2 linked regions of the Notamacropus eugenii genome follow. The protein of the gene in region 1 binds, or shares a complex with, the protein of each later gene. Links are inferred from orthologs where the notes say so. Each region holds a gene or a part of one and is shown in the gene's direction. Other genes may lie near its edges. The genes, in order: POLA1 and POLA2.

What was found.
Region 2: the proteins of POLA1 (region 1) and POLA2 are in contact, whole or in part, in a cryo-EM structure (PDB 8G99), measured with the Xenopus laevis proteins. The link is inferred for Notamacropus eugenii from reciprocal best matches to the Homo sapiens genes POLA1 and POLA2. Residues at the interface, in NP_001082055.1 of Xenopus laevis: Gln548, Lys551, His553, Gln554, Asn555, Phe642, Glu645, Val646, Gln649, Asn652, Leu673, Gly675, Arg676, Phe679, Lys1137, Asp1141, Pro1143, Asp1144, Ile1321, Gln1322, His1324, Asn1325, Lys1326, Leu1328, Leu1329, Arg1332, Ile1335, Lys1336, Tyr1338, Tyr1339; in XP_018112289.1 of Xenopus laevis: Met280, Tyr281, Lys282, Phe283, Met284, Phe285, Gln286, Lys287, Leu288, Met289, Ile291, Arg292, Val295, Ser296, Ile299, Glu314, Thr316, Leu320, Pro321, Gln323, Glu324, Thr325, Val326, Gln331, Gly333, Cys334, Asp335, Ser336, Asn337, Gly338.

Annotation. Positions count from the first base shown.
Region 1 is NC_092876.1:452,198,387-452,214,698, reverse strand, and holds the start of POLA1 (DNA polymerase alpha catalytic subunit), read left to right. Parts: upstream 1-10,242; 5' UTR 10,243-10,387; coding exon 10,388-10,430; intron 10,431-14,891; coding exon 14,892-15,016; intron 15,017-16,312. UniProt on the Homo sapiens protein: Catalytic subunit of the DNA polymerase alpha complex (also known as the alpha DNA polymerase-primase complex) which plays an essential role in the initiation of DNA synthesis.
Region 2 is NC_092873.1:18,070,687-18,085,985, forward strand, and holds the start of POLA2 (DNA polymerase alpha subunit B), read left to right. Parts: upstream 1-8,400; 5' UTR 8,401-8,523; coding exon 8,524-8,620; intron 8,621-9,342; coding exon 9,343-9,467; intron 9,468-12,199; coding exon 12,200-12,294; intron 12,295-12,465; coding exon 12,466-12,523; intron 12,524-14,092; coding exon 14,093-14,202; intron 14,203-15,299. UniProt on the Homo sapiens protein: Accessory subunit of the DNA polymerase alpha complex (also known as the alpha DNA polymerase-primase complex) which plays an essential role in the initiation of DNA synthesis.

The DNA of each region.
Region 1 (16,312 bases):
TTTTTCCTCTATAATTCTCTTGCAGAACTCTTATTCCTTTTCCAAATTTTTTCTTCTACCTTTCTTATATGATTTTTCAAAACCTTTTTGAGGTCTTCTAGGAGGACTTTTTGGGATTCAGACCAACTCGCATTCCTCGTTGAGGGTTTACATGCTGGTATTTTGACATTGTGGTCCTCTTCTGAGTTTGTGTTTGGATCTTTCCTATCAGTGTAGTAGTTTTCTATGGTGAGGGCTTTTTTTTGGGTTTTGCTCATTTTTAAAAAGTTGAGCTTTGCTCCTGGGGGTACAGGGGGCACTGTTCCAAGGTGCTGAGTACAGAAACACAAAAATAAAACAATCTCAGTCCTCAGGGAACTTATATTCTATCAGGAGAGGCAGTTGTGTATATGACTGGGACTACTACACATGCCAGAATGCCTCTTATTGCATTTTCCTCCTTGGAGGAGTCTCAGGAGGCTGCTGCTGGCAGAGTTGTGATGACCTGTAATGAAAGTGCTTGGGAGAGACTCTAGAGCAGACGTAGACATTCTAAAAATGGAGCAGCTGTTCAGCTGACTATGCAGATAAAAGGAGCTTTTGGTTATAGTTGTGGAACTGGAATGCAGCTCCATCAAAAAGTCTTCATCCGCATTGATCTCTTTCCTTTTGGCTGCTCTCCCTTGGTACATCTGATGATCTGACTTCTTTGTTAACAGCGTCTGGTGCGATATGAGAAGAGGACTTGGGATCTCTTGCTCCAATGCTAACACTTGACTCTGAAACTGGACCTTTGTTCATTGCCTTCCTTGGTTTTTGTTTTTTCCTTCTGGGTGAAGGAGATTAATCTGGATGCTCTCCTGTGACACTGGGATCTGGAAGTTAGAATCCAGGCTGAATTTTACAGACAACCTAGTATCAATGCATGGAGGAATAAGGAGTAACTTTTGATATTGTCCTCCATAATATGTTGATTGGACACACTGTCAATAACACTTTTCCATTATAGGCAGCAGTGATCCCACTAAGGATGCCAGCTGTAAGGACTAGATATTTGCTGAAGGAAATGATGGCAGAATTAACCTTAATTTGGAACCAAGTCAACCACCCCCATAATAATTATTTTAATGGATGGTTGTTCTTACTTAGGCATTTTTTCATTCTAATGGAAAGCATAATTTAGAGGTCAATTGGGGCAAGAGATGCACCCTAATGTTATGGAAAATGCCTGCACTGGGGACTCAGCAGACCCAGAGTCTAGTCCTGGCTCTGCCTTTAATTAGTTATGTGCAAGTTCCTTCACTGCTTTGGAGCTCAGTTTTTTTTATCAGTTGAATGATGGGGTTGGACTAGATCAGAGGTTCTTAAAATGGAGTCTATAGACCCTAAAGGGGACCATGGATAGATTTCAGGCACCTGTGAACTTAGATGGGAAAAAACTTAATTCTATTTTCATTACCCTCTATTTGAAATTTAGCTTTCCTTCAATAATTAAAAAAAATATTATTCTAAAACGGGACCCATAGACTTCACCAGACTGACAAAGGTGTCCTGTGACACCTCTGGAACAGATGATCTCTAGGATACTTTCCATTGTTAGCATTTTGATTCTCTTGATTCTAAGATGCCTCCCACTTGATTTGGAGTTAGAGGACCTGGTTCAAATCCTGGTTTTGCTACATATTACCCATATGCCTTTGGGCAAGCTCTGGTTCTCAATTTCATCATCCTTAACATGGGCAGGTGTGGGGGTCAACCACACTAGCACAGAGGTGGGCTGCTAATATAGGCTCTTTGATCTGCTTTTCTAAAGGAAAGACAACTATAAGGTGTCAACAACATTACTTTAATTACAGATAAGCAGAAAGAAGTGAGTATAGAAAATATAAGCAGAGAAATTAGCACACAGATTCAACAGACGGGGCTGAACAAAGTAACACAGCCACCTACGTATACCACCAGAATGGAAGGGCACCACCATCCAAGTAGTTGGAGGACTCTTAACAAACAGCTACTCAGAGTTCCCTCCAGGGAATCTCACGAGAGAGCCCCTCAAAGCAAAATGCCAATGTCCCAGAATATATAACAAGGACTTGGCCCCTGATCGACTCAGAGCCAGTAGGCATGTGACCCAGCAGAGCTGTGAATTATCAGGGTTCAAGGGAGATCAATCCTTCAGATGTTCACAATTTAGCCTGAGCCTGGGAAACTGAACTCCAAAAAAGAAACCAACAAAAATCCCACCTTGCTTATGCTTGTGGCAGGGAGGGGAGGATAGATAACTCTAAAGATCTCTTTTAATTTCTAATCTGTGATCCTGTAATCCCATTGTGGATGGAATTTTCCCATTATCAATGTCTACAAACATTTATGGAGTACCCACTGAGTGCAGAACACTCTACTAAAAGCTTGGAGGAAATATCAAGATTAAATATGAAATGTTCCCTACCCTTATGGGTACTGTAGCTTGGGAATGAGATATATAGTTGTAAATAACCCTAATACAAAATGATACATGGTAAAATCTTTAGAAAGATGCAAACTGAGTGTTGAGTGGGATCCAAAAGGGAAATTTCTTTACAAAGAGGGGGGCGTAGAAGCAAGAGAGATGAAAATGGATTCTATTGCAATAATTCAAGCCCACTGTACAAAGGTGGTACCAGTAGAAACAGAGCTGAGATGACTTGAGATTTTTGTGGAGATAGAATTGACTGAACTTGACTATTGTTTGGAAGTGGGAGTGAGGAAGAAGGAAGAATTAAAAGGCAACACCAGGTTCTCAAAAGTGGGAGACTGGGCAAATGGTAGTGACAATGACAAAAAGTTTGGGGCTTGGGGGAAGGGTGACACTAATCTTTTTTTTTTAAGTCAGCATAAACTAACATTTAAGACACACTTTTTCAGAAGATCAGGCAGGAATGTCTTTTGTGAGATAGAATTTAGAAAAGTTCTTAGTTCCTAGACATGAACACTTGGGGATGAAATGCCTAGGAACACTGTGTAGGAGTTGGCACTTGCTGAGATGATATTGGGACTCTTAAAGCCCAGGCAATATAACTATGGTATCAAATGGAACTCAGGCTGGTGGGAGTTTTCTAAGCAAAATTGACAGCAGGTCCAGGACAACCCCAGGCTTTTGCTTTGGTTGGGGTCACCTCAAATGAGGTGACCATGAAAGAAATTCCTACTGAGTAATAGGGATTATGGGAAGCCTTTAGTAAGCATCAGGCTAACCACTAGTCCCTTCATAAAAGACATTGTTAAGGAGGGATTCACCTTCCTGATCACTGACAAGGTTCTCTCTCTCTCTCTCTCTCTCCCTCTCTCTCTGTCTCTCTCTCTGTCTGTCTCTCCTTCTGTCTTTCTCTCTCTCCCCTCTCTTTTTCTCTCTCTCCCTGAGGTATACGTAGCATCAATAAGGAAGCAGAAAAGTCTCTGGATGTGGACTTTCCGAGATTGGTAATAATTCCACATCACTATGAAGAAGAAGGCTTATTATAAAACCCTGTTAGCAAGTCATCCAGAGAAAATGAAAACCAAAAATATAATCTCCTGTTAATGGTGGAATAGTTGAGCACAGGCCAACTTGCATGTTCAAAGTTGTGATGAGTACTAGTTCATAAAGATACCTTGATGGAAATCATGAGAGTGTCTATGGCCTTTGGTAGCACTTCCTTGACTATATTATTGGGTGGGGCTTGATTTTACAATTGATTCATCTGCTTCACAGAGGAATACTACTATTCTCATGGCAGCAGATTGTTTCTCAAAGACGTGCCACTTGGCACAGAATCAGAGAGAGAACAATTTGGACAATTGGAGAGAGCAATTTACACAATGACTACAACATTGCAAAGAAAAACAACTGCTAAAAGGCTTCAGAATTCTGATAAATGAAATAATCAATCTCAGTTCCAGAAGACTGGTGATGAAGTGATGAATCAGAAGAGCAGGAGGAGATATTTTTAGACATAGCAATGTGTGAATTTGTTTTTCATGACTGTAACAAAGAAAGGTTTTTGGAAGGGGAGACTGTTGAGGTGGAGCAAGGAAATGGAGAGGTAGTAATAGTGAAAATGATACTAAAAAATGGAAATAATGTCATTAAGTTACTAAAAACAAGAAATTAATTAGATCAGGGGTGGGGAACCTGCAGCCTCATGGCCACATGTGGCCCTCTAGGTCCCCAAGTGTGGCCCTTTGACTGAATCCAAACTTCACAGAACAAATCCTCTTAATAAAAGGATTTCTTCTATAAAATGTGGACTCAAAAGGCTGCACCCAAGGACCTAGAAGGTCACATGTAGCCTTGAGGCTGCAGGTTCTCTACCCCCATTAGATGTTCTAAAGTGGACACAGACAAGCAAAGCAGTATGGGAACCAACCTGTTAGATTTAGAGTATTCAGTAACATAAACATAAAACATTCAGAGTTTTATATATAGTCCTCCATTTCTGTTTTACTTTGTGTTTGGAAATGTTCATGTCTGTTGATTGTCAAATTCATAACAATAAAAAAGCAAATTTAATTTATTTCCCTTTAAAATTAAATTTTATTTTTAGTTCTGAATTCTCTTCCTCCTTCTACTTCCTCCCCTTATGATTGAGAAGGCAAGAAATACAATATCCATTATACATATGAAGTTAACCAAACTATCTCTGAATTAATCATATTCTGAAAAAAAATGAGAAAAGGAAAGGGGGAAAATATGCTTCCATCTGTACTCTAAATTCATCAGTTCTTCTTCTGGAGGTGGACAACATTTTTCATTGTGAGTCCTTTGTAACTGTGGTGGATCACTGTATTGATTAGTTACTAAGTCTTTCACAGCTGATTATCTCCACAATATTGCTGTAAAATGTTCTCCTAGCCCTGCTCACTTCTCTCTGCATCAGTTCAAAAAAGGAAATTTTTAAAATGTAATGAATTATCTGATTCCATGGGCCAAGCTATCATCCAGGATGTGATTTTTTTTTCAGAATGTTATTAACTTGCATAGGTTTCTCAATCAGATGGTCTACAACTAAGTTCTCAAGAGGAGTTCAAAAGAGGGTTCGAAATTCAGCTAACTACCCTACTCTCCTGCCTAAAAGCCAATGGGTTTGTAGAGGATATTAAATAGTATTGATGCTCTCATACTGCACTTTTCAGCAGAACTGAGTTTTATTCCTGTTAACAGGCAATTTTTTTCCAGGAATTGTGGTTGGAAACGGATTCGTTTAGGTATCCTATAAAATCTCCCCATGTAGTTGACTAGCAAACATATCAAAGACTCAACAAATACCACTTTTGAAGAACTGGGAACCACATCTACAAATGGAGAAACTGGGCCATCTAAGCATTATGATGGACACAGAAACTGGGGAAAATCAAGACCCTAGCTCCAAAACGGAAACTCAGAAATCATGTCTGGTTAAAAAAAGTGTATTTTCTGGTATGAAGTTCCTCGCTGGCTTTAGATGACAAGTATTCAAGCTTCTTTATTATCTCTTTGTGTCTGAACTCAGTGACCTCTGGTCCAGTACTACTGACCTGGAAGACTGAGTCTTTCATTTTAAAAAAAACTGTATCTACCATATCCATTTGTCTTAGATTTTCTAGGGCAGTCTCAATTTTAAGAAAGTTTAAGTTTAAAAAGGCTTTGAAAAAGGAATATCTTTTATCAGACATAGGTGTGGAATGGATATTTTTGGATATAATTTTCATATAGATGTAATTTTCAAATGGATATAATTTTCACATTGGGTCAGTGTTTTAATATCTTTTGCTGAACTGTTTCATTTGGGAGCCAGGCAGTAAGGTGGTGCAGTGGATAGAGCACCAGTGCAGGAGTCAGGACCCGAGGTCAAATCTCACCTCAGACACTTGATACTCACTAGCTGTGTGACTTTGGGGAAGTCACTTAACTCCAATTGTCTCATCCTGGGTCATCTCCAGTCATCCTGATGAGTATCTGGTCACTGCACCCAGAAGGCTCTGGAGGAGAAGTGAGGCTGGTGACCTGCACAGCCCTCCCTCACTGAAAACAAAGTCAAGTGCAAGTCATGTCACTATTTCTCTGATGGCATGGTCTTCAGCAACACAGGACAAACACACACATTTCGGAAAGGGGTGTCATAGGGAAGTTAGGGTGGCATCATTGGCAAGGGAAAGCAATGTAAAAAAAAAAAAAGACCAAGAAAATAAAAAAAAATTCTTTGTCAGACCTTAAGTTGTTCCCCATATGTAGATATCAAGCCTTCCTCACCTTTGCTTTTAAAAATCACTGACTTCTTTCAAGATTCAGCTCACATGCTACAAGATTTCTTGTTAGTTATGTTGCTGTTCAGCTATTGTTTTGGTCACATCCAATTTTCTGCTACCTCATTTGGGGTTTTCCTGGCAAAGGCAATGAAATGGTTTGTCTTTTCCTTCTCCAGCTAATTTTATAGATGAGGAAACTGACACAAAGAAGGTTCAGTGACTTGCTCAGGGTCCCACAGTCAGATCTGAACTCAGGAAGATATCTTTCTCAATTCAGGCTTGGCATTCTATCTACTGTACCATATAGCTGTCCTTCTTATTGCTTATTCATTCCTAATTTTTCATTCCTAGGAAAATCAGTCTGAGACAAAAGAAAAAGAATTCATATTCTCATTCGGTCAACTAGCATTTATTAAATATCTACCACATATCAGCACTGTGTTAAATGCAAGTCGTCAAGAAACAAAAAAACTGGATTTGGACAAAAGACACAAAATTCAATGTCTTGGTTAGTTTTTTTCTTGCTGTGAGTCAGAAGAAAACAAAATATACAAATAAGTTTGTATTTGATAAGCTTATGAAACAGAAACTGTCATGCTAATTTAGAAATATCCTTGTCTCCTTTCATACTGAGCTCCAAAGAAGAAAGACATGCAGGGCAGTTGGGTGGCAGCTTTCCAAACTATGAGCCACATGAGTGATGACTAAGCAGAAGTACCAAAGAAAGAAAATATTGTCGCCATGGTGGCATCAGTTGCCCTTGTTGGGGTGAGGGAGAACCATCTGCCATGTGGATAAGTTTATCAGGGAACTGCTGTTCTTCTCCATCAAGAATGAAAAATGGCATTCTAAATCATCACCTAAGAGCCATGGGTAGATAACCGAAGTTTAAATATTGGAATACTATTGGAAGGAGCTTTTTTATAGCCTTGACGGATGGAAGGCTGTCCTACTGAACACTTCGAAAACAAAATTCTTGCTACCAAAGTCCTTGGCACTGTCAAATGGGTCAACATCAGACATGGGGATATGATTTTATCAGTGGAAGTGACTTTATTTTTTTAAAAATTCATTTGTTTTCAGTTTTCAACAATCACTTCCCTAAGCATTAAATTTTCTCCCCCCCCCCAGATGGCATGCAATCTTATATGGGTTCTACACATACACAGTTATTAAACACATTTTCACATTAGTCATGTTGTATAGAAGAATTAAAATGAATGGGAGAAATCATGAGAAAAACCAAACCAAAACAAAACACAACACAAGAGAAAATAGTCTGCTTCATTCTGTGTTCTGATTCCATAGTTCTTTTTCTGGATGTGGATGGCATTTTGCCTCAAGAGTCCTTTGGGAATGTTTTAGGTTCCTGTATTGCTGTGAAGGGCTAAGTCTATCAGAAACAGTCCTCGCACACTGGGGCTATTACCGTGTACAATGTTCTCCTGGTTCTGCTCATTTCGCTCAGCATCAGTTCATACATGTCCTTCCAGGCATCACTTGCTCCTCATTTCTTATAGCACAATAATACTCCATTCCATTCATATACCAAAACTTGTTCAGCCATTCCCCATTGATGGGCATCCCCTCGATTTCCAGTTCTTGGCCACCACAAAGAGAGCTGCTATAAATACATTTGTATGTATGGGACCCTTTCTCAATTTTATGATCTCTTTGGGATAGAGTCCTAGAAGTGGTATTGCTGGGTCAAAGGGTATGTACATTTTTGTAGCCCTTTGGGCATAGTTCCAAATTGCTCTCCAGAATGGTTGGATCAGCTCACAGCTCCACCAACAATAAATTAGTGTTCCAACTCTTCCACATCTTCTCCAACATTTGTCATCTAGTGGAAGTGACTTTAAACATCTTTGACAATTTGCTTTGTTCCCTAAAGATCATGGGACCTTTCCATCAGACTCTTATCTGAAATCTCCTATGTATGTGGTTACTCCCATTAGAATGTGAGCTCCTTATATAAGGAAATTCTTTCTGTGACTCAAGGGGACTTACAACATACAACACTCTACTCTGGGTCAGGAAAGTGAGTTCAAATCCTGCTTCAGACACTTATCAGTTAGGTGGCCCCTTGGTTTGGTCATCCATAAAGTGGGAAAAATAGTAACATACACTTTATAAGGCTGTGCTGAGGTTCAAATGAAATAATATAGGTAAAGTGCTTTGTGAGTCTTAAAGCATTCTCTAAGTGCTAGCTATTATTACCATCCTTATTATATCTCAGGTCCAACATCAAAACAGCATGGGGATTCACATGCCGATGTACCTTACAGGTTCGCATGTTGTCCATTAGATTATGACTGCCTTGGGGGCAGGGACCGTCTTTGGCCTGTTTTTGTACATCCGGCCCTCGGCACACATTAGGAGCTTAATAAACGTCTACTGATTGATTGACTAAACTCAGGGAGCTCTCCAAGAGGCTCATCAGGCATTCCCTACACACCAGCGGAAGCTCAGGTCAGACACAAAAAGGACAGTTAAGAGTCTGTGCCTGGCATTGCGCTGCGGACTAGGAACACAAAAATAAGTCTCCTATTTGTACAGTCAAAGGGTTCGATGTGATTATCTCTAAATCTCCTTCCAGGTCCTAAGGCCTGTACCGGCTTGAGACAGGGCAAGGGGAAAGAGGCTGGGGCTCGGCGGGCATCGCGGACGTTGGCCACGGGGATGAAGGCGCTGGGCTCAGTGGGCACCACGGACGTTGGCCACGCGGATGAAGAAGGCGCTGGGCTCAGTGGGCACCATGGACGTTGCCCACGTGGATGAAGGCGCGTGGGCTCAGTGGATGAAGGCCTGTGGGCTCAGTGGGCAAAGGCCTGTGGGCTCAGTGGGCACCGAGGACGTTGGCCACGCGGATGAAGAAGGCCTGTGGGCTCAGTGGATGAAGGCGCTGGGCTCAGTGGGCACCGCGGACGTTGGCCACGCGGATGAAGAAGGCCCGTGGGCTCAGTGGGCACCGCGGACGTTGGCCACCCGGATGAAGAAGGCCCGTGGGCTCAGTGGGCACCATGGACGTTGGCCACGCGGATGAAGAAGGCCCGTGGGCTCAGTGGGCACCGCGGACGTTGGCCACGTGGATGAAGAAGGCCCGTGGGCTCAGTGGGCACCATGGACGTTGCCTACGTGGATGAAGGTGCGTGGGCTCAGTGGGCATCGCGGACGTTGCCCACGTGGATGAAGGCGCGTGGGCTCAGTGGATGAAGGCCTGTGGGCTCAGTGGGCACCGCGGACGTTGCCCACGTGGATGAAGAAGGCGCGTGGGCTCAGTGGGCACCGCGGACATTGGCCACGCGGATGAAGAAGGCCCGTGGGCTCAGTGGATGAAGGCCTGTGGGCTCAGTGGGCACCGCGGACGTTGCCCACGTGGATGAAGGCGCGTGGGCTCGGTGGATGAAGGCCTGTGGGCTCAGTGGGCACCGCGGACGTTGGCCACGCGGATGAAGAAGGCGCGTGGGCTCAGTGGATGAAGGCGCGTGGGCTCAGTGGGCACCGCGGGCGTTGCTGACCCTGTAGATCGTCCCGGCTGGCTCCGGGGAGCACGTTCTAGGCGCAGGGATGCTGCGGACAAGAGAGAAGACAGGCGGAGAGGACAAAGTCCAAGTGCAGAAAGAGGAAGGGCAGGCGCGGGGCGCTGCCCTCGAACTGACCACCACCCCGTCCGTCTAACAATAAAAGAAAGGATCTGGTCGCACTCAGTGTTCGATAGGGTGAAGACCTCCGCATAGCAGCCAGGGCCCCCCCAGCGCGCGGATTCCGCCCGCCCGCGCCTAGTTTCAGGGAAGGCGAGTCTTAGAACCCGAGAGCCGCCCTCTCCAGGCAGGTTCTCGTTCCCTCCCGCCCTGGACCAACTGCGCATGCGCCCCCTGCCGGCCTTCTTTCAAGCGCCCGGCCGCTTTCTTTCTCCGCTCTCGGCCCAGTCTGAGTTTCCCGCGGGTCTAAGGACTCGGGAGCGCGCCGAAAGCCGGGATCTGGAGGAGGAGGCGGCGCTAGGGCGGGGACACGGCCGAGAAACGCCCGGCGACCCCGGACTTCCGGGCGGAAGTCGGCCGCCGTCGGCGGGCGCTGATTGGCCGGCGGGGCGGCGCGTGTCTCTGCCCCCGCGCCAGTTTCAGCGCGTTGGCGCGGAATCCTGAGCCGGAGCCCGTGGACCATGGCGCCGGTGCGCGGCGCGGAGCGCGAGCCCGGGAGCAGCGGTGAGGACCGAGGCGTGGCCGGGGCCCAGGGGGCCCGGGGCGGGGAGGGTGGCGGCGGCCCGAGAGGCTCCGGCCCCGACCGGGGCGAGCGCTCGTGGGGGAGGGGGAGCCTGGAGGTCTGGGGAGTGGGGAGGGGGCGGCGGAGAGTGCGGGCGCGGTGGCCGTCGGTGGCAGCATCACCAGGTGGCAGACCTGCGTCTAGGGACGCGGGAGCCCCGAGGCTCCTCCTTCCTCATCCTGCCCTGGGGGAGCTGGGGGCGGGTCCGCTCCGACCGCGCTGGGCGTCCCCCGCTCAGGCCGCAGCCCCCGGACCCCGAGATCCTCAAGGCCGGTGCCTTGGTTTTACAGACGAGGAAACTGAGGCCCAGCGATGAGGAATCTGGGGCAGGAGCTGTTTCTCGGGCACCTTTCGGTCTCTCCGCCGCACTCCTTTTCCTCGACCTTCTTTCTCGATGTAACTGGAACTTTGGGTGTCCCTGTGGGGCACCCCTAGTGTCCTGCACGTTGTGCCTGCGCGCTCCGCCTTAGGAAATGAGCTTTTATTTTTTCATTTTTTTGCCTGTTTCACTCCAGTGGTGTCTCTAGAACAGCTCAGCAACATCCCGTTTGAATCTGGACCAGACGGTGGTCATTATTTCTGCACAAGTATATCCCATACATTTCCTAAGTGCCATGCCGAGGAAAAGTGTGTTCTGGCTTCTAAGGGGATAGTTTTCCACTTTATGCATTTTAAAATGGTTTTCAGATTCATCCAAGGAAAGGGGGGTAATAATAATGTTTGCCCTCTGGTCGTTTACTAATATGCTTAAAAATAGTGGTTACAAGTTAGTGCTCATATTTTAGTATTCTTTTATCAGAGAAATACTCCGGAATGGATATCTTGAATTCCCTAAAATAGAGTTGGAAACTGCACAATTACCCTAATCCAAATAACTGGATTTTCAAGTGAATACGAGTTGTCAGGAGTCTTGAGTCTGTTTTCCTTCTAAAGATCCGATGACTGACGGGCCTTTGCCTTCCTGGCCCAGTGTCTTCATCTCTTGTCAAATGGATACTTTCTTACTAATGAAAACTTTCTAATCAGTTTCAGTTTCATTCACCTACTTGTAAATTACAGATGTCAGTTTGCAGCAGTTGCTACAGTGGAGACTGAAGCCTTAAGACAGTGTGGTAGACCTCGTTGGTGTGGGGAACTGTCAGGACTGCATTACAGAGGAAATGGATGAACGTGCATCCTGACCTGTCACTTAAGCAGTGATTTGCTGCTAAGCTCTTCTTTTATCTTTTAAAAACTGAACTTCATCAGGGAGCATCAAAAATCACTGCTTGGGTGATGCTGTGCAATCTGGAAACCCCTCTTAAGTTATGGGCTGTGATTATGTTGCTTTGATGGGCTTGTGACTAGAATGTTTCCTTTGGAACATGCTGAAAGATTCATTTATTGTGCTTTTTTCTATAGCCTATCTATAGACTTTTCTTTGGGGGTGCCCCAGATGGTTCTTTTTAATCCAGCATTTGTGATTGCTAGAATCAGCCATTTTTTTCTATTAAAAAAAAATTTATACGTGTGAAGAAAGTGTTTAAAAAGAGGAAGGAGAATTATTTGTTTATGTTTAAATTGGAGAGTCAAGGCCCATTGTTTTCCATAGGTACTAGAACTTAGGGAAAGTGAGATATAGCTTGAAAATCTTATAAGCAATTGTTTACCTAGATATGATTTTTTTTACCTTGCTGGAAAGATGTAAAGGAAAGTTTATAGTAAAGCATTGACTGTAAGCTTCTGATTATTCCTGGTGCTGTACTAGGTGTACTAGTGAGAGAATTACTAGGTAATAATGGCTAATAATAACAGCTACCATTTATGTAGTGCTCTGATGTTTTGTAAGGCACTTAACAAGTATCCTCAACAACAGCCCTGGGGAGGGAGGTGCTGTTATTAGTCTCATTTTACTGATGTGGAAGCTGAGGCGGAGTTGTGAAATGACTTGCCCAGCATCCTACAGATAATTAGTGTTTGAGGTCAGGTCTTCCTGACTCCAAGTCTAATGTAAAACCCATTGTGTTACATAGCTGCGAGATCAAGTTCTTATCCTCTCAGGCACACACGTTGACAGAACTCTAGGTATAGGATCCATCTGTCCATAGCAGCTCAGGCATACTTTAATACATCAAAAGACCAGGGATTTCATCCATGTGACTAATTTCTTGCAAATGTAGATTGCAGTTTTCACATGTAGTACAGGTTTCATGAATTTCTGTGTTTAGAAAAATTTGTAACTTGGTAGCCAAACTTGTACTGATGAGCTTCCTGGGACTTAGCTAGATTGGTCCTTGATTATATTGGCCCTGGTGGCATTTGTGTTCCACTGATAGGTTCTTCAGGACATGTTATGTGCTCCATGTTGTGACGAGTCGTTGGAGGACTTCAGAAGAGGAGCCCACATGTGCAAGGAATTTTTTTGATGTTTCACTGAGATGCCTGATCTCATTTTTGTGGGATGATGGCACATTTCTCTTCAGTGGCAGAGAATGCAACCATCTGTGCTTTCTTATTTTGCGCTATTTTTTCCCCTATCTTCTTAAAATTCCTTCATAGTTTGTTTACCTAGTGTGCTCGAGGGCTTGCTTTAGGTCTTTTAACATTAGTAGGTACTAGTGACACAATTAGGCTGTCTGCCCAGTAGTCTTCATTGTCACCATATAACAGAACCATCTCCTTTTCTGGTCTTCTATTTCTTCAATAATATCTTTATACCATACCTTGGGCTTGAGTCATTATTGGTATTATCTTGCACAAACGTTTGAACTGACAGTAGAATAAAAATGTCCTCCCAACACATAAATGAACAGTAAAGTCAAGAGTAGTTACATTTTTAGAGATAGGGGCATTTCTAACTACAGAATTGAAGTAGAGGTCAGTGACAATAACCTTAGAATTTTCATTTAAGTCCTTAGCATATTTAGAAGAATTTTCTGATCAGTCTGGGAAAACTTCTTGAAATTTTGTGTGTGTGTGCGTGTGAGTGTGATAAGGGAGATAGAGCTAGATGTCTTTTGGGATTTAAGGTGGAGTGGGAAGGAAGGAAATGTTTCAGGTGAATGTCATTTCTTTGGACAAGTACCAAAGTAGGCATGGCATAAAGTAGACTTTGAATAGACATTCTAGATTGGTTCTGGGGTGGGCTTAGGAGATAAAAGAGTTGCAGAAGCTTTATGAAGGATTTTGAATGATCCATAAGAGAACTGGAAATCATTGCAGACATAAAAAAGGAGGGTGATAATTCAGTTCAATTCAGTGCCAGACACTATGCTAGGCTTTGGAGATACAGGGACCAAAAGGAAGCCATTTTTGCTTTCATGAAGTTCATATTCTACAGAGGGGAAACAATATGTGTGTGGGGATGGTCAAAGTGACAAGCACAGAAGACTTTGGTGGGAAAGCATAGTTTGAAAAGTTGGTGACTGGCAGTATCACCAATGTTAACTTACTCACGTGTCTCCAGGTGCCTCTCCCTGCTGTAAATCGATGATCAAGTGATGTTGACTGCAGGTCCCAGGTGTTTTTCACTGTTGCTTCTTGCTACTCATTATTCACTTCCATCCTCTGTGAATTCAGATTTCCTTACCTGTAAAAATGAAGTTGCGATGGTAGATGCTATGTAAGAATCCTTCCTGCTCTGATAATCTGTAGCTCTCTGAAGACTATACCATGGCTTACGCAATAGTGCCTAAGCTTACTGGTGTTGGTACAAGTAGAATTTTAGACAGTGGTGTTAGGAGGATAGACCGCATGAGTACAGTTTTCTAGGGGAACTAGATTTCTAACTGATGTCATATACACTAGGGGTGAGATGTAGATGACTTCATCTCATAATCTGAAATCATCCCAAGTTAAACCTGGGTGTTACTACAGTTCTCATTGTTTAGTATGTATTTGGGAATATATTTTAATATTTAAATAACTTGGCAAAATATGTTAATCTCTGGTCATTATTCACTGCTACCCTGCACATATGGGATATGACCTTATTGTCAGTATCATGCTTATGAAGAAAATGGACATCGAAATAGTAATAAGATAAATAGAACTCATTATGAGCTGCTTCTCCTTTTTAAAAATCAGCATCTTTTGCCATATAGGCCTGGCCTCTGTTTTTGTTTGTTAGAATTTTAGGCTGATATCCATTTCTCAGTCTAGTCGTTGAAAAATAACAAATGTTTTTTTCAGCCTAGAATTTTTTAAAAAAAGCTGACATTAGGGCCATTATTAGAATTTCAAAAGAATTAGACTTAAAGCAAATTTTGCCATGTAATTTTTCCTTTCAGTTGCTTACATTTTCTTTGTGAATATGCACTTTTGGGCTGTTCTAAGAAGTGGATGTTAATATTGGGCAGAAAATATCTTGGAGCTCTGGAGATCGAAATTCTCCTATCTCACGATGTTAATTTGCTCTCCTTCAGGTGTATCAGATTCAGGGCGTTGGATGGCTTCCCGTTCTCGGAGGGAAAAGAAGTCAGTAAAAGGGAGGCAGGAAGCACTGGAAAAACTGAAAAAGGCAAAAGCTGGAGAAAAGCTTAAATACGAGGTAAGTATTCACTTCTCATGACTCAGTCTTGTTTTCTCCTCAAGTTCGTACAGTGTTAGCTTATATAAATCCTCTCACAGGCTGAAGAAGTGTTTTAGTATCCCTCTCATCAGTCATTAATTTGTAAAATTGAGCTTTCATTATGTGCACAGGATTGAGTATTTTATGGTTTGCAGGGGAAATATTGCAATTGGGTTTCTTAAAAGGTAGCTAACGTTTTATTTAAAAGTTTTATTTTTTTTTTGTTTTTTTTTGTTTTATTGTTTTTTTAAACATCACTGTTACTTCCTCCTACTGTCTCTCCACCCATTGAATCTTCCTTCCTGAGCTAAGGCAGTTGACACAGCAGCTGCCCATGTATATCACATTCCACATCTGTAATTCTCTCCACTAAGAAAGTTTTTCCTTACTCGTTCTCTAGGACTGAGCTTGTTCATTACGATTCATGAGCATCTGACTGCTTTTTAGTGTTGTTTACATGATAGTGGACATTGTGTGTATCCTTCTCTTGGTTCTGCTTTCTTCACTCTATCATTTCATACAGGTGTTCCCATGTTTCTGTAAGTTCTTCATATTCATCTTTTCTTGTAGAATAATAATATTCTATTACATTCATAGAACATATTTTGTTAGGCTCCTTCATAATTAATAGACATCTATTCCAAAATCCTTTTGGATGAATTATATGCATTGAAGAATATTTTTCTGTTCTCTGTTAGTGAATACTTTGTATGTAAGTGTGTGTAGGTCTTTGGGTACTTGCTCACACACATGTGTATTGTGCACAGGTTGGTGCCAGAGCAGATAATTCATGTGTCTTTTCTTTGAGGAGTCTCAAATGTCCTAAACTTAATTTTTAAAAAGTAAAAATTTAAAAAGTGAATCTACCCCTCTTTCTAAAACTGATTTTGAAATAGGGATTAAATTTCAGGTTCTCCTCTAGTTATTTTAAATTCAGTCTATAGAAACAGACTGCTGCACTGTTTGTACTTTTGCCAATTTTAAGTGTGCATTTTTGTTAAAATCCATTAATGTCATATTGCTCCATGAAGTCTTTTTTACTTAATGATTTTTCATAGTAATTCCTTTTAAAAATTTCTAAAGTCTGGTGCCCAGTGTGCTGAAAGAGGCTCTGTTCGTCTTGGGAGTGTGTGAAGCTACAGGTGTAAAATGTGTGTGCAGTTTGTCAGTGCCGCTCTTGGGAGTACAGAGATGATAGGCTTTAATTTTCTAATCTTGAGAAGAAAGCTATTTCCAAATTGTCTAATTACCTAGGATGCAAAAATCAGAACTACA
Region 2 (15,299 bases), on another chromosome or scaffold:
AGTTTTATTGATATGTAATTGGGGGAAAAAACAAAATACTATTTAAAGTAGAAGTATGAGGAGATAAACCTACTCCAACTCTTACAGAAGTAGACAGTACAAAGATGTAATAAATTGCATAGATTTTTCAGGCTTCATCATATATTGCTCATTTTTCTTCTTTGTCCAATGTCCATTCACCTATGATCAGGAAAGAAAAAACACAACTAAGACAGAAGATCATGCATTCATGGCCACCTGGTGGCCGGGATGAGGACTATAAGGCATTCTAAGCTTTTCTTTCTTCTCACTTGAAAGCTGACATCAGAGAGAGCTATTGTCTCTTTGTGCCTTTGGAATACACAGTCAGTTCTGGCTTAGCCAATTAGGAATTTTTTTTGCAGTAAGCCAACAGAAAAAAGTCATCAAATACATGTTTGTGATTTGAATTGGGACAGAGCCCCAATTATGTACCCATTATGTACATTATGTTCTGATTTCCAGAAGCAGAATCACCAAGCTACTTGACTCACTACTTGTAGTGCTAGTAGACAAAATGTACTGTTCTTGGACTAAGGATTGGGACAGTACCTCATAATGTGTATTTGATCCTGGAGCTGAAAATAAGGAGAGACTGGAATTTATTGAAAGACATGGTCTGACCTAGACTTTAAGAAAATCATTGAATGGGGAATGGACTGGAGTGGAGAGGGACTTGAGGCAGGGAGACCAAACAGAGGCTGTTGCAATAGTCTAGGCATGAAGTAGACAGGCTGTATATGAAGTTGGTTTCTGTATTAGTAAAGAGAAGGGAATATTTACAAGAGATATTTTGAGATAAAAGACATGCTCCTCAACTCCCAGGCAGTTGCTCCCCCTCTGGACTTTTCTATCATACCCCAGGAACCTCTGCATCTTGCAAGATCTCATCAGCCATGGAACTCCTAGCTCATCAGTAGTCTTTGTTCCTGGAGCTTCTTGTTTGTCCATTCTCAAAGAGGACCATGACATCAGGAAAATGATAACATGACTTGCAATTGACTTTGATATGAGTGAAGGAGGGCTGTAGAAAGTCACCAGCTTCACTTTCTCCTCCAGAGCCATCTGGGTCCAATGGCCTGATATTCATCAGAATGACTGGAGATGGCCCAGGATGCAATGGAAGACCCTGGTCCTTTTAGACTAAGGTCTTTCCAGGTCCTCATTTTGAGTGAGGTAATGCCCTCTCAGTGAATAGGTCTTTTTTTAAGAAGTGAGTCAAAGGATGACCCTTTTACTCAAGAAAAAAAATCAAGAGTCCCTCTGATTAACAACCTGAGCTGAAAGCTCATCCCCAAACTTTCATTTCTGGAGGGTTCCCAGGCCAGCCATTTGGCTGCACCCCTTAGGACATCCATGCCTCTGCACCAGGCACCTCCCTCCCTCTCCTTTCCCTGTTCACTTCTCTTCAGTGTCATCTTCCTTCATTAGATTATAAACCTGAAAATAGGGACTGTCATTCTTTTTTTATATTTGTGTCCACAGCACTTAGCCAAGCACCTGGCATATAGTAGGTGCTTAATAAATGTTTATTGACAGAGAACAGATTGACTATGTAGCGGGAATACTATAACAATGGTGCCCCAATAACAGCAGATAAAATGTAGATAATGAGAAACTTTGTTTTGTATGAATATATGTATTTTAATGGGTTTTATTTTTCTTGCCTTCCCAATGGGTGGGGGAGGGAGAGAATTTGGAACTGAAAAGAAAATAAATTTTTAGAAAAGAAAAAAACAGTAAGAGGGAATTTGGAAAGGGAGGTAAAGATAATAAATTCTGCGTGTTGGGTTTGAGATACCCTGTTTCCTCTCTTCTCCCATTACGTTGCACTTTATTTTCTAATTTTTTTTACAATTGTCTCTATTAGTTTAACTTTTTCTTTTATTAATCTGTCCCTCAAATTGGGTAAATTTTTCCTAAATAATAATAAAGCCCTGAATACATACACGTATAATCAGCTGGAACAAATCCTCACCTTGGTCATTCCCAAAAGTGTGTATCTTTCTGCATTTTAAATTCCTTAGCTGTCTAGCAGGAAGCAAAATTGTATGTTTGATCTTCATTCTTTTGGAATCTTTGTTTATCATTGCCTTGATCAGAGTTCCAAAGTCTTTGGTGCTGTTTTTCTCAATAATGTCATTTTTATTATATAAATTGTTTTCCTACTTCTGCTTTTTTTTACCCTAAATCAAGGTCTTCCTGGTTTCCTCTGAAACTGCCCACTTCATTATTTCTTATGGGAAAATAAAATTCCATTACATTTATATATTACAATTTGTTCAGCCATTCCTGGAAAGGTGGTCAACTTTTGACCACCAAAAAAACAAAAAAAGCTCTTCTCAAAATGTTTGAACAGAAAAGCCATGATTGAGGTTTTCCTGGGTCAAAAGGTAGGCACAGTTTAGCAAGTTTTGTCAACATGGTTCCAAACGGCTTTCCAGGAAGGCACGAGCCATTCATAGTTCCACCAGCAATATTCTTATTGCTCTTTTCCCACAATTCCTCCAACACGGTCATCTTTCTATGTTGTTGTCCTTGCTGGTTTGGGAGGCATAAGGAAGAACCTCAGAATTATTTTAAGTTGCATTTCTCTGATGATCAGTGGTCTGAAATATAAATGAATGAATGAATGCCTATTAATCCCTTAAATTTCTTCCTCTGAAAACTTCATTTGGTTCATATCCTTTTATCATTTGCCTATTGAAGAATGGCTCGTAGGCTTACAAATCAGAATCCATTATAAATTTATCCTATACATTTAAACCCGGCTTCCTTCAAGTAGTGGTTGTTGTCCTTGGTGCTCATAAAGAACCAAAATGGCATCATGATGTCAGGGTCAAGGTATAGTGTGTCCTATGTGACTGATAAGACCAATACAACCTCCAAAGCCTCTCCCACAGATCAGATACAAATAATCCAAATGAACATTTGGAGTGGAGATGTCTAAATTTGTGTGTCTCACATTTCTTTGGAGCTACTGAAATTGTGGTTTGCTCATGGAGCTGTTTCCAACTCCATTCCTCCCAAGGACTCCATGCCATGTCTGATAGTCTGTGCCTACTCTAGCATTAAAATCACCCAGAATTACAAACTTGTCCTCTTTTGTCACAATGATGATATGAGGGTCTCCGGGTCTTCATGAATTTTTTCTTTGACTTCATCAGGGTTCATGGTGGGAACACACATGCCAGTGATGGTGCCATGACGATTTCCTGCCAATATTGTCATGAGCCTGTTGTTCACTCCCTGGGGGAGCAATATACACTTGTTGACTAGGTCGGTTTTGATTGCAAAACACACACCAGCTTCACAGAGCTTCCCTTCACTGTAGCTACTCCAGAAAAACAGTTCTGACTTCTTTCCTTTGCCAGCCTTGTTTCACTCAAGGTTATTTGGATATGATACATGCTAAGCTCTCTCACAACAAGAGCAGCTCAAGTCTACTGGATTTCATAGTTGTCCATAAGTGTACACCCATTCCACGTATCAATGGTGAGTGGAATCATCTTCCCAAAAGTTTTTATATTTTTTTTGTGTTTCGCCCACAGGGAGTGATCCCTGCCAGCTGGGGTAAGCAGTCTAGGATTAAGTTAGGTGAAGCAGACAATTTTTAGGGCACTTTTTCTAAGACCTTCCTCATGCCAGGAGGTGAGCAGTGAGGTCCTTAAAAGGCTACTCAGACACTCAGAGGGCTGCCGAATCCCACTGCTGCTTTAGTTCAGTGAGAAAATAACACTATTGTCTCAGCCACCTATTTGCAGGATTGTGTCTACAGTTCCTGCTATATCCATACTTGCTGCTTCATCACTTGCCTATTGCCACAGGACTTTGAGGTAGGTAAAAATGGTAAAATGGTATGGGTAATATCTTTTGACTCACCCATAAATTCAACTTAAGTGAGGCAGAGTTTCATGAAGCCATCAGCCTCACTCTGTCTTCTAGAGTCATCAAAGTCGAGTGGCAAGACAAAAGTCAGGACAACTGGCAATGGCTCAAGGATGAAGGGGATGACCTTGGCACATTCAATATTTAACCAAGCTCTAAGTGATTCACAGTACCTGCTGCTGTGTCCTTCATGGCACATTGGAACAAATTGTTCTCATCCACCAGATCCACTGGTCTAAGATATCACATATTTTGGATAGATACCCCCCAACTCACTTAGGGGTTTGAGGTCCCTCCCTTACCCTCCACCTGGTTTAGGCTGTATGCTGAAATGGGAGCATGTCTACTGTACCTTCTATAGCTTCTTGGAGCCATTGGGTGGCAGATGGATCCTAAAAGTGGATGAGTAGCCCTGAAAAGGGCTCAGCAGTCCTCATACCATGAAACCCCAAGTTATTCTTTCAAGGAAGTTCCACCTAAAACCCCACCTTCTACCAAAAAAGCCTTTTGCATTTGCCTCTTAAGGCTGGTGCCTTCCATAAGTAGAATTCTCCAATCTATCCTGTATATATATTGTTTCTACATCGTTGTTTGCATTTTGTCTCCCCCATTAGACTGGGAGCTCATTACAGGCAGGCATTTGTCTTTCTTTGTATCCTCAGATTTAGTACAATGCTTGGCACACAGTAGACATTTAATAAATGCTTATTAACTTGACTCCTGAAAATAACTATGGTATCCCTTTCCCTATCCTCTAGCTGCATACTTCTCCAAAAAAAAAAAATCATTGAAAAAACTCCATCCTTCCTCTCCTCCTCATCTCACAATAGTTGGGCACTTTTTCCTACTATCTCCTATCTCAGGGAAGAGATGGGTCTTCTCTTTGCAAAAGCCAACCCCTCTACATGCACCTTTGATATCATCCTGTTTCGTCTTCTGCAGCAGGTTGTTCAGTATCAACCCCATTCTCTAATCTTCAGTTTCCCTGTCTCCTGGTTCCTCCCCTAATGTCTACAAACATGCCCATTTCTCCATCCTTTAAAAAAACTCACTTCATCTGACCACCCCCGTAGTTATCATGCTAAATCTCCACTGCTGTCTCCACTTCCATTTCTCACCTTCCGTAGGAAGCCTTTCCCAACTCTTCTTCATCCTACTAACTTCCTTATGCTATTCATCTCCTCTTTATACTGCTGGCAGCCCACTTGTTCATATGTCTGCTTGTCGCCCTCAGTAAATTATGAGTTCCTCAAGGGTAGGGACTGTCTTTTGCATCTTTTTGTATCCCCAGTGGTTGGCACAGGGCCTGGTACATACAAGCCACTTAATAAATGTTTATTGACTCACAGACTGACTTCACCTGAATTCCTCAAAAAGGCTGCCACCACTTCCTTTCCTCTTACCCTCTTTCTTAACTTGGTCTTCTGACCTCATTATTCACTTGAAAATGCTCTCTCCAAAGTTACCAATGATCCCTTCAATACTAGATCTAACAGGGTTTGTTTTTTGTTTTGGGAGGGGATTGGGAGGGAGGGTTGTTAGGTTGTTTTTGTTAGCAATTCTCATGTTTCTTGACCTCTCAGAAGCATTTGACACTGTCAATTGCCTCCAAAATACTCCCTCCTCTCTAGGTATCCATCATACTGTTCTTTCCAGGTTCTCCTCCCATCCCAATGACCATTCCTTCTCAGTCTCCTTGCTGGGTCTGGTTAAATGTGGGAATACTCCAAGGGTCTGTACTAGGCTGTCTTCTCTTTTTCCTCCATTCCCTCTAACTTGGTGATCTTATCAGCTCTCATGTGTTCAGTTTTTATCTCAATGCAGTTTTCCCAGATTTATACATCCAGCCCTAATCTCTCATCTGAGCTTCAGTCCTACATCACCAACTGCCTTTTGGATATTGAAAACTGGTTAGCCCATTGGTCTCTTAAACCCAAGATGTCTAAAACAGAACTCATTATCTTTCCCCTTCCCCTCCCTCCTTCCCAACTTCTCTATTACTGTTGAGGGTGTCACTGTCCTTCCCAAGCACTCAGCTTCACAATCTCAGTCATCTCCGACTTGACTGGACCTCCACCTACATGCTGAATCTGCTGTTCCATCTTCTCTTTCATCTTCACAACCCTCTTGGATACATCACCTTCTCCCCATGCACACACCAAGTACTCTTGTATAGATCCTTGTTACCTCTTTTCTGAACTTGCAATAGCTTGCTCATTGGTCTTCCCATCTTGACTGTTTCCTCACTCTAGTCCATTCTCCACTCAACTGCCAAACTGATTTTCCTAAATCAGTAGTCAGACCATGCCTTTCTGCTACTCAATGAACTCCAGTGACTCCCCATTATTACCACCCAGATCAAATATACATAATGGTCAGGAGGAGCCCTTAGAGTAAACTTACCATGTTCTGCCCATTGGTAATCTGAGTGAAGGTTTGGTGAGCCTGTTTATGTAAGGGATGTTGTGTAATGCAAAGGTCCTCTTCCAATTCAGATCATGTGCATGTATTCGGTGATTGTTCGAACCTCTGACCTGGTTGCTAAGCCAGAACTGAGTGTGTGCTCCAAAGGCACAAAAAGACACAGGCTCTCTGTGCCCTCCTTCTCCCCTATCTGCCTCCTCCTCCCCTTCCTTCTCCTCTCCAAAGGAAGGTGCCCAGTTGACTTGGATATTACTGGCTAGTTTCCTTTCCTTTCCTTTCCTGTCCTGTCCTATCCTGTCTTTTCCTTTCCCAAAACTTTAAACCTAATGCATTCTGAAGCTGGGACACCAATGGGCCCCTGCCTAAGGGTTCTTCTGGACTCTCTTGGCGTTACAGTGATTATCAATAGTAACCCTTGCTGTTTCCCTCCAAGACTGATGTCTTGCTTTTTCTTAGTCTCATTAAAGGGGCCATCCCTGGCTACTTCGTAAAAAGGCTTACTCAATCAATGGGCATTACCTCACCCTAAGTGAGCACCTGCAAAGACCTTGGCCTAAAGGGCCCAAGGTCTCCCAGGGCATCCTGGGTGATCTCCAGTCATCCTGATGAATATGTGGTCACTGGATTCAGATGGCACTGGAGGAGAAGTGAGGCTGGTGACCTTGCACAGCCCTCCCTCACTCAAAACAAAGTCAAGTGCAAGTCATGTCATCATTTCTCTGATGGCATGGTCTTCTTTGGCAATGAAGGAGGAACACAATAAGTGAGGAAAAAGAAGAGCTGCTGTAAGTCTCTATCTGGTGTGGGAAACCTGAGGCGAAAGGCCACATGTGGCCCTCTAGATTCCTGGATGCGGCTTTTTACTGAACCCAAACTTCACGAACAAACCCACTTAATAAAAGGATTAAAATCCCCTGCACCGCTGTCTGGTGGCTCTTTGCCCAGCACTGCGCTGTCCCACTGCCTTGCCCCTGCACTACGATGAAATGAGGGGGATTCTTCCTCTGTTGTAGGTCCATCTAACCGTAGGCGAGCTCTGGTCCTTCTGGCTCAGAACAGGAGGAGACATAGGCAGTTGGGCGGTACAGTGGATACAGTGGTACAGCTGGGCCTGGAGGAAGGAAGCCTCAGATTTGACCTAATTCTGACTTGTCTACCCGTGGGCATCAGCTACTACTCTGAGTCATGGTCTCCTCTCTATGTGCAGTAAAGGGGCTTCGGGTGCCCTCAAGAAATGTCCGGCATGTGCCTTCAGGATTCAGTCCCGTTGGAGGGACGAGAGTCATTCATTCATTCATTCATTCATTCCCCCAGACACTTGTGGAGCCCAAGCCTTTCGGGGAGCGGGCACAAAGGCCCCTCGGCTGTCGCACGGTGGCCCAGCTCCCGGGGGCTGTGCCCTCAGCCTCCCCGTGCCGAGCATGGCGCCTGAGGGCCCTGCGGCTGCGCTGGGCACTTCCAGCTGCCCAGCCCTCTGCCACGGCCCCCGAGACCCCGGGTCTGTCAGGCAGTGCCGGCTGCTTTAGAGAGGGGTCGCTACACAAAGCGACAACGGATGTGCTGGCCAGAGCCGGAGACCTGGAAAGGCCCTCGGAGATGAGTCAGCAAGCACGTGCGTGGGGGCTGGCCTCCCAAGGCCACGCTCCAAGACCGCTGCCGTACACGTGTGTATATACGACTATATACGGGGCTGTAAGGGCCGCAGAGCGCCGCGCACGCGCACTCCCTCAGCTGGGCCTCGCCGCGCCCCGACAGGTGGGGGCCGCAAGGAGAGGCGAAGGCCGGCCCGTCTGGGGAGGGAGACCCACAAGGAAACAGCCAGGTTCCAGCGGGCTGGGCGGACAAGCTGGAGCCCGTCCCCGGGGGCGCGCGAGGAAAGGCTTCCGGCAGGGGGCCGGATGAAGCGCGAAGCGCCTGCCCCGTAGGTGCTACTGGTCGCAGAGCGAGCCAGGTGTTTGGCTTTTAGCGGCGCACGCGCACGGCGCACCCCACCCCCACCTCCCGCCGGCACCCAGCGCGCCTGCGCCCGGCCGGATCGCGGGCCGGGGAGAGTAGGTGAGGCGCACGCGCGCTGGGGCAGGGCGGAAGGGGCTGGACGCAGCCTCGCCTGGGACGGCGCCTGCGCAGCGGAGGAGTTTGGCGGGTGTTTTTTTTTTTCTCGGTCTGTTTCGGTAACCCTGCCGGGCGGGAGGGATGGGGCCCGGGGGCGCCGGCTCCGTGTCGGCCGAGCGCCTGGCCTCCGAGCTGCAGATGTTCGGCCTGGACTGCGAGGAGGCGGCCTACGAGAAGCGTGAGTGCACCCCGCCATGCCCACCCCCCATCTTCCCTCGCCGAGCCTTTGCCCAGCCGTCCCCCAGCCTGACCTGCGCCCCTCCTGGGGCACCAACAGATTCTGCAGGGAGCCTTCCCCGATCCCTCCCCAGCCCCCAAGTACTTGTGGGGGGATGAGAGTGATTGCAGAGCCCCCATCATCCCCTCCATTAGAGCTGAGCTCTTTGTACGCCCGGTACACACCGAGGATGGAGGAAAGAAGCATTTATTAAGTGCTTACTGTATGTGAAGCTCCAGCTAAAGGGGGGAGGGACTATCCTCCGGGATGGAAGGTGGAGCCTGCCCTCAGGGGTCCTGGGACACCGGAGGTGCATAATAAATGCTTGTTGGCTTGTCTCCCTCCAGGGAGAGACCCCCCCCCCCACTAAGGGACCTCCTCCTTCTGTTGGGGGGCTCTTTGCCTTCCCCTTGCTGTAGCCCTGTGCTTTCCTGGTTCCCTGCATCTGCTCATAGAGCTCTTCTAGAGCTTCTCTGGCCTCACCCTTTGCCGCCCTCTACTCTTGGCCCAAACAGAAATAAAGCAGCCTCCCTCTTGTAAGGGATGGCACGGCCACCCAGCGCCAGGACTCTGGATGATGGGGAGAGTCTCCAGCTCTCCCCCAAAAAGTTTGCTCTTTCTAAAGTGAAAAAGCCAAAGGGGAGCGTCCACACTGACGTGCGCTTTGTCCTGTGTCCCTGCAGTGGCAGAGCTGTGTCCCTTGTACCGGCAGACGGAGGACCAGCTGGTGGCCGAGCTCGTGGCCTTTAGCAGCAACACCGGCAAAGTCTATCTCACCTTGGAGACCCTCAGCTCCTTTGAAAATGAGGTAAGAACAAAGCCACGGTCTGGGAGCTGGAGGCAGACCCCAGCACTTGTGGTTCTGGAAATAATAAGTCTCCTTTACATCTGAGTCCTGTCAGCCTAAGGAGTGGGAGAGACCAGAGTTCCAGTCCGGCCTCGAGCACTGGACAAGTCGCTTCATCCTGTTTGCCTCAGTTTCTTCACCTGTAAAATGAGAGTGATAATATCTACCTCCTAGTATTGTTGTGTGGATCAGACCTTCAGTTACCTCCCCTCTCTCCTCCTGTCTATCATATTCCATCTCCTTCCCATCCACTAGGGCCATGAGCCTCGTGCCTCCTGACCTCATACTCAGCTGTGGTCAAATTTACGCTCTCCTTCATCCTTCACCCTCCCACTTCTTGACTGGCCAAGAACAGTCCCTCTCTGCTTCTTTTCCTGCCCGCAAACTGCTGGCCCACATCTCCCAGTCCATGGTATCTGCCTGTGGCTGGAATCATCCCAAGGCTGTACCCAGGGGCATCTTGGCCCTTCAAGCCACTTCTTTACTTCAGGTGACACCCCAAGGCTTGCCCTGGTGTTTATGTGGAATTTTTCTGCTGTTTTCTCTTTGGAGGCAGAACCTGCGTCTTCTTCATCCCAAGACACATGGACCCTGGCACAGAAAAGCTCCTGAAATCATTGGACTGAACGACTCTGTGTTTTTTAACACCTTTAAAAAATTTTTAATATGTTACATGTCCCTTTGCAGTCAGTTATTTTATACAATTTGGCATTGAGCAAACAAGATGTTGGAACATAGTTTACATCTTCCTCATGAACCCATCCTTTTGTCACCTTAGATATTAAGCTTTGATGAACAGTACATTTTTCTGGGTCTAGCTTTGGAGAAAGCCTGTAAGTTTTCTTTTTAAATAGATTTTTTTTATTATCTTTTGTTTCATATTACTTAAATTTCCCCTTATATCCTTCCTATTCCCCACTCCCAAAGAGCTATCCTTTATAACAAAAACTTTTTAAAAAGAAAGGAAAAATAAGAAGCAAAAATCTTAGCAAAACTGATCAATACATTGAAAAAATAGGACATTCCATGCAGTATTCCCCACGTGCAACGGCCCTCCGCTGTAAAAGAAGAGAAAGTATGTTCTTACATCTGTCCTTGGACACCACGCTTGCGGGTCATAACTTGTGACATTCATTTTTAACTGTCTTTGGTTGTGATCCCATTTCCAGGGCAGTAACCACTGTGGTTGTTTTCTTGGCTCGGGCTTGGACACCTCAATCCCTACACACCTTCCAGCCCTTAGACTTGTTGCTCTACAAGGTCTTGTAGAGTGAGTAGGTGAGAAAGCCTGTCCTCTACTGGATGTGTGTGGACTCAGCCTGGCACTGACCTCTTTGAATTTGGTATCCTGACTTACCCTGTGTTCAAAGTGTAGGTTAGAACATCAGTGGCATTTCCTGAAATCAGGGTTGCGGTCTGATCCCCAAAGAAGCTACATGTCATTTTGTCTAATGTAAAAAAATAAGAACAGGAAACGAGAAAGATAAGCACTTGGAGAGGACGGCTGGCTGACATCCCCTCCCCTGCTGGCTCCTGCTTCCTCTGGTCCCCCCAGAGCCAAGCTCAGTCCTCTGGGCTGGGACTGATCCATGCACAGGCCTGTGCTCCCCTGCCTCCTCAGGGCCTCCCCCCAGGACTTCCCTGGTCTCCAGGTCTTCCTTTGATCCTGCCATCCCATGTCCTTCCTTTTCTCTGCCCCTCCTCCACCCTTCCATTCAGCCTCTGTAGTCTGACCTCTGCTTTATCTTGAACAAATCCTTTGAGGAGAGGAGAGGGCGCTTTGTCATTTCTTGACTCATTCCTGGCCCCCATTCTCCTGACGCTGTGCCCTCCGGTCCCCAGGGATCTCTTAGGTGGCTGATGCCTGGCTGTCTGCACTGATGGCCAACCTTCCCATTGGATCCTCTTTTCTCTTTGGGCGTCTGAAGCACCTTGTGGTGACTCTTTGCTAACTCCTCCCCTCCCTGGGCTGTCCCTGGGTCTTGTCTCGGCCTCTTCTGTCACTGAGCCCTTTCTTCCAGCAGGCTTATGTCCTGCACTCATGTCCAGAGCTGCAGCTCCCCTGCAGTCACATCTCCAGTCCTAATCTTTTTAACTGCTGCACAATGGCTTTCCCTGGAAATGCTGCCATCCCTCAGATTTAGCAAATTAAAACCAAACTCTGAATTGTTGGCCATTCCCTCAGAGGGCATCGCTTCTGTCCCTGGCTCCAGCCTTACCCTCATCTCTCACATTTGAAATCTTGGGGTTCTTGTGGGCATGTCTGTCCCTCCACTGTGGGTTTCCTCCTTACTCTCTTACGCTCTCTTACGCTCATCTCACACACTGGGACAATGACAGTCGCTCCCAGACAGGTGTGTGGCCTCTGTCTCCCCCACCTCCTGCTCCATCACAGTCCAGAGAAACTCAGAAATCTAGAGCAGATCCATTGATCCCACTGAGCAAACTTCAGGAGACTTCGACTGATATCAAGGCTCCCCACACCCCCCTGCCTCCCAGCGTTTCCAACTTCATCTCATGATTTCCCTCCAGGAAATGTACCCAAACTCATATTGTCCCTGTCCGTGTCTTATCGCACTCTTGGACTGTAAGCCCTGCAATGTGTCTTCCCTAGCACTTAATATCATTTATTGAACGGGAGCCGGTGCCTTGGGACTTGGGCTGACACTGAGTCACCACCTTTTCTTCCTCAGTTTCTGATCAAAAGGTTGGCCAAAGCGAGGCACGGTCCCACCAAGAAGGACAGCAGCCACCCAGGAACCTGGGACATCGTCTCCATCCAAGAACTGTATCCTTCTCCAGTCAGAATGAGGGTGCCAGCTAGAGACCTAAGGGGAGGGAGGGTGCTGGCAGCATGTGCCAAGCCCTCTGGTAGCTGGGAAGGTGTTGGTAATGTATCCCAAGCCCTGGCCTCTGGGAGCAGGGGAGGGGCAGGGTTTTCCATAACTCTGATGTTCAGGATTGAAGTGGAGGCCCAAGAAGAGACCCTGTTGAACTCTTACGCCACGCCCTCCAAGGTGAGTGGACACTTCCCCCAAGCTCAGGATTTGAACCAATCAGTCCATGCAGCTCCTGAGCCAGCTCTCTGGAAATCAGTTCTGTCCAGGTAAAGGAAGTGAGGCTGACCCACTGGAGTCAGATTTGTGAGAGTGAGTTTGTCCTGTCCCTCTGCAGCTCAAGGTTGGTGTATCACCAAAGAAGGGAAAAGATCTTCATTGGAAAGCATCACCATATGAAACTGCACCTAGATCCGTCAGTGAATAAGCATGTATTAAGTACCTACTTTTTACCAGGCACTGTGCTTAGCTCCAGGAATCCCATGAAAGGCCTAGGACATTTCCTACCCTCCACGAGTTCCCAGTCTAATGGGAGAGAGAACAGACCTCCAACTGTGTCCAGACAAGCTCTAGACAGGAGACCTTAGGGAGCATTGCTGGCGGGAAAGCCCCTGCACTTACATGGAGCAAGAAAGGCTTCTCCTCAACAGTAGTGTTATTGCCATCGCTTGATTTGGGGAAACCAGTCTTGAAATGACAAATGCTATGTATTTTCTGTACAGTTCAGGGCATTCCTTTCTAATGAGCCTGGCCTCGTCGGGCCTCCAGGGGGAGCCCAAGAGCTGCTGCAGTGGCGGCTGTCTCTGGTTCTCTTCCAGGCAGAGATTGACTTTTTGCCCCTCCTGCAGCCAAGTTATTCCCTGGCCTTCCCCAGGGAAAGCGGAGCCCAGTGTTTTCCTCTTGTCTAGAGTCTGACAAACTAAGTTAGAGAAAGTGAATTCCCAGCATTCCAGAACCTGCCAGTTTTCCTCACCACACAAGGTTCATCCTAGGACTTTGATTAAAGAGTAAAATACCAAATTCTCTGGCAACTGTACCTTAGAAAGTGGCCGGAGTTCAGACATGTTACCTGCCCAGAGTCATTCTATTTTTTTTCTAGTTTGAGAAAAACTAACTAATTAAACTTCTTAGAATGACTGGTGACTTGGCCCTAGCCCATCTCAGAGAAATATCCGCAGGTCAAGATAGCTTGTGTTGCAGAACTGAAGGTTGTTGTGTAAAGTACAGAGAAGGAGGCCTTCTGATCGGCCAAGAGTCAACAGGAGAGATGTTCCTGCCTTGGACCTTTTTTGAGACTCCCAGGGTTTGTGGCTTTATAGAGGTGTGGATATTCCCTGCTATGTCAGATTTCAATGCCCCATGGCTTATAGGTGGCTTTCAGGACAGAAGCTAACTTACTATGGGACATCTATAAGTTTAACTAGACTGACCTTCATCCTGTAGACACAGGCTCCATCCCTGTCTCACATTGTTATAGCATGGCAGCTTAGTAAAACCTGCCACCTTACATAGCCCCTGATGGTGAGCTGTCACAATGGGGCTTTAGAGGAAACTTGAAGTGGGGTGTTGGAAATGGGGGTTTGGGTTCTCACTTGGGACAGGCTTCTCTGAGACAGCAAGTTTGGGCCTCCAGAACTAACGGTCTTCCCTGGTCATCAGTGGATCTTCCCTTCTTGAGACTTTGCCCTTCCTCGTTCACCAGCTTGGACTTAACGTTGCCTGGCCCTTGATGGGCTGATCTGCTTGCAGGGTTCTCAGAAGCGCAGTGTCAGCACCCCTGAGACTCCCCAGTCCAAGCGGAATGTATCAGCTGCTCGCAGTCCTCACCTGCTCTTCTCCCCATCCAGCTTCTCTCCAAGGTATGGGGCCAGACTCGGTGCTTTGGAGGCCCAGACGGTCTTAGTTACCCCAAGAACAGGGACGATTGTGTGAAAAACCAAGGTTTTGTACCAATGATTGCTCAGCCTTCCTGCTCACCTTGCATCCTCTTGGCTCTTCCTCTCTTTGTGGAAAATTACTGTATCTTAGAGTCATTGAGGAAATTTGGTTTCCACCCTGTTTTCAAGGGCTTGTTTTCAAGGGCTTGCTTCCTAGATAAGAAACTGCTGATAGCAGCCTGCCAGCTGGTTCAATAGGATTTATCCAGCTTGTCTTTTTTCTAAAATGGCCAAAGGATTAGGAGTTGTTTTTATATGTTTTTAAAGGAACTTAATCAGCACCTCTCATGTTACATAACCTACTTCTTTTCCCTCACTCAAGTTACATGGAGCTGGGACATTTCCTGGAAACGGCAGCTCCAGGCCAGCTTACGAGGAGATCATTCCACTTAGCCACCAAGGGAGCAGCATGTCCACTCCAGTGAAGTTAGGGGCCTTAGCCTTGTTTCTTGGGGTCCTGGACACCCATCTACTGCTGCTTCCCATCTGGAATCCATCCCCCCCAAACTCCCTGAGGTCTGTGCCTGGGAGAGCAGAAGCAAGAGACCTTTAGGGCATGAAGAACAATGCCATAGAGGTGGCTTCTCTTCAGTGTCAGCCCTGCACTGATGGGCAAGGTGCTAGGCACAGCAGACACTTTGGATGGGTTGGAGGTCTTAACTTTTTTTGGGCTTTAAAAAAAGTTCTTGATATCTTTTCTTTCCAAATATATCCTTTCCCCTCCTCTATCCGGAAAGGCATCATTGAAGGAAAGAGAAGGAGGAGGATGGAAAGAGAAGCGGTGCGGGAGCTCAGCGTGGGTGCCCCCAGCAGGCTGGCACTGCGGTTTCTCCTCTCCCCTGGCCACCAGCTTGATTATTACAATCCAGCAGCATCTGACTCCTTCTTGGCCTGGCTTTTTCTGCTCCCATCTGAAGTCTCCAGTAGGGATTGTTTTCCTGGTCCAGCCGCCTCTGTCCCCATCAGTTCACAGACATCATCTTGGCATCTCCTAGTCCTTTTTTGGTCCTCATTTCTTA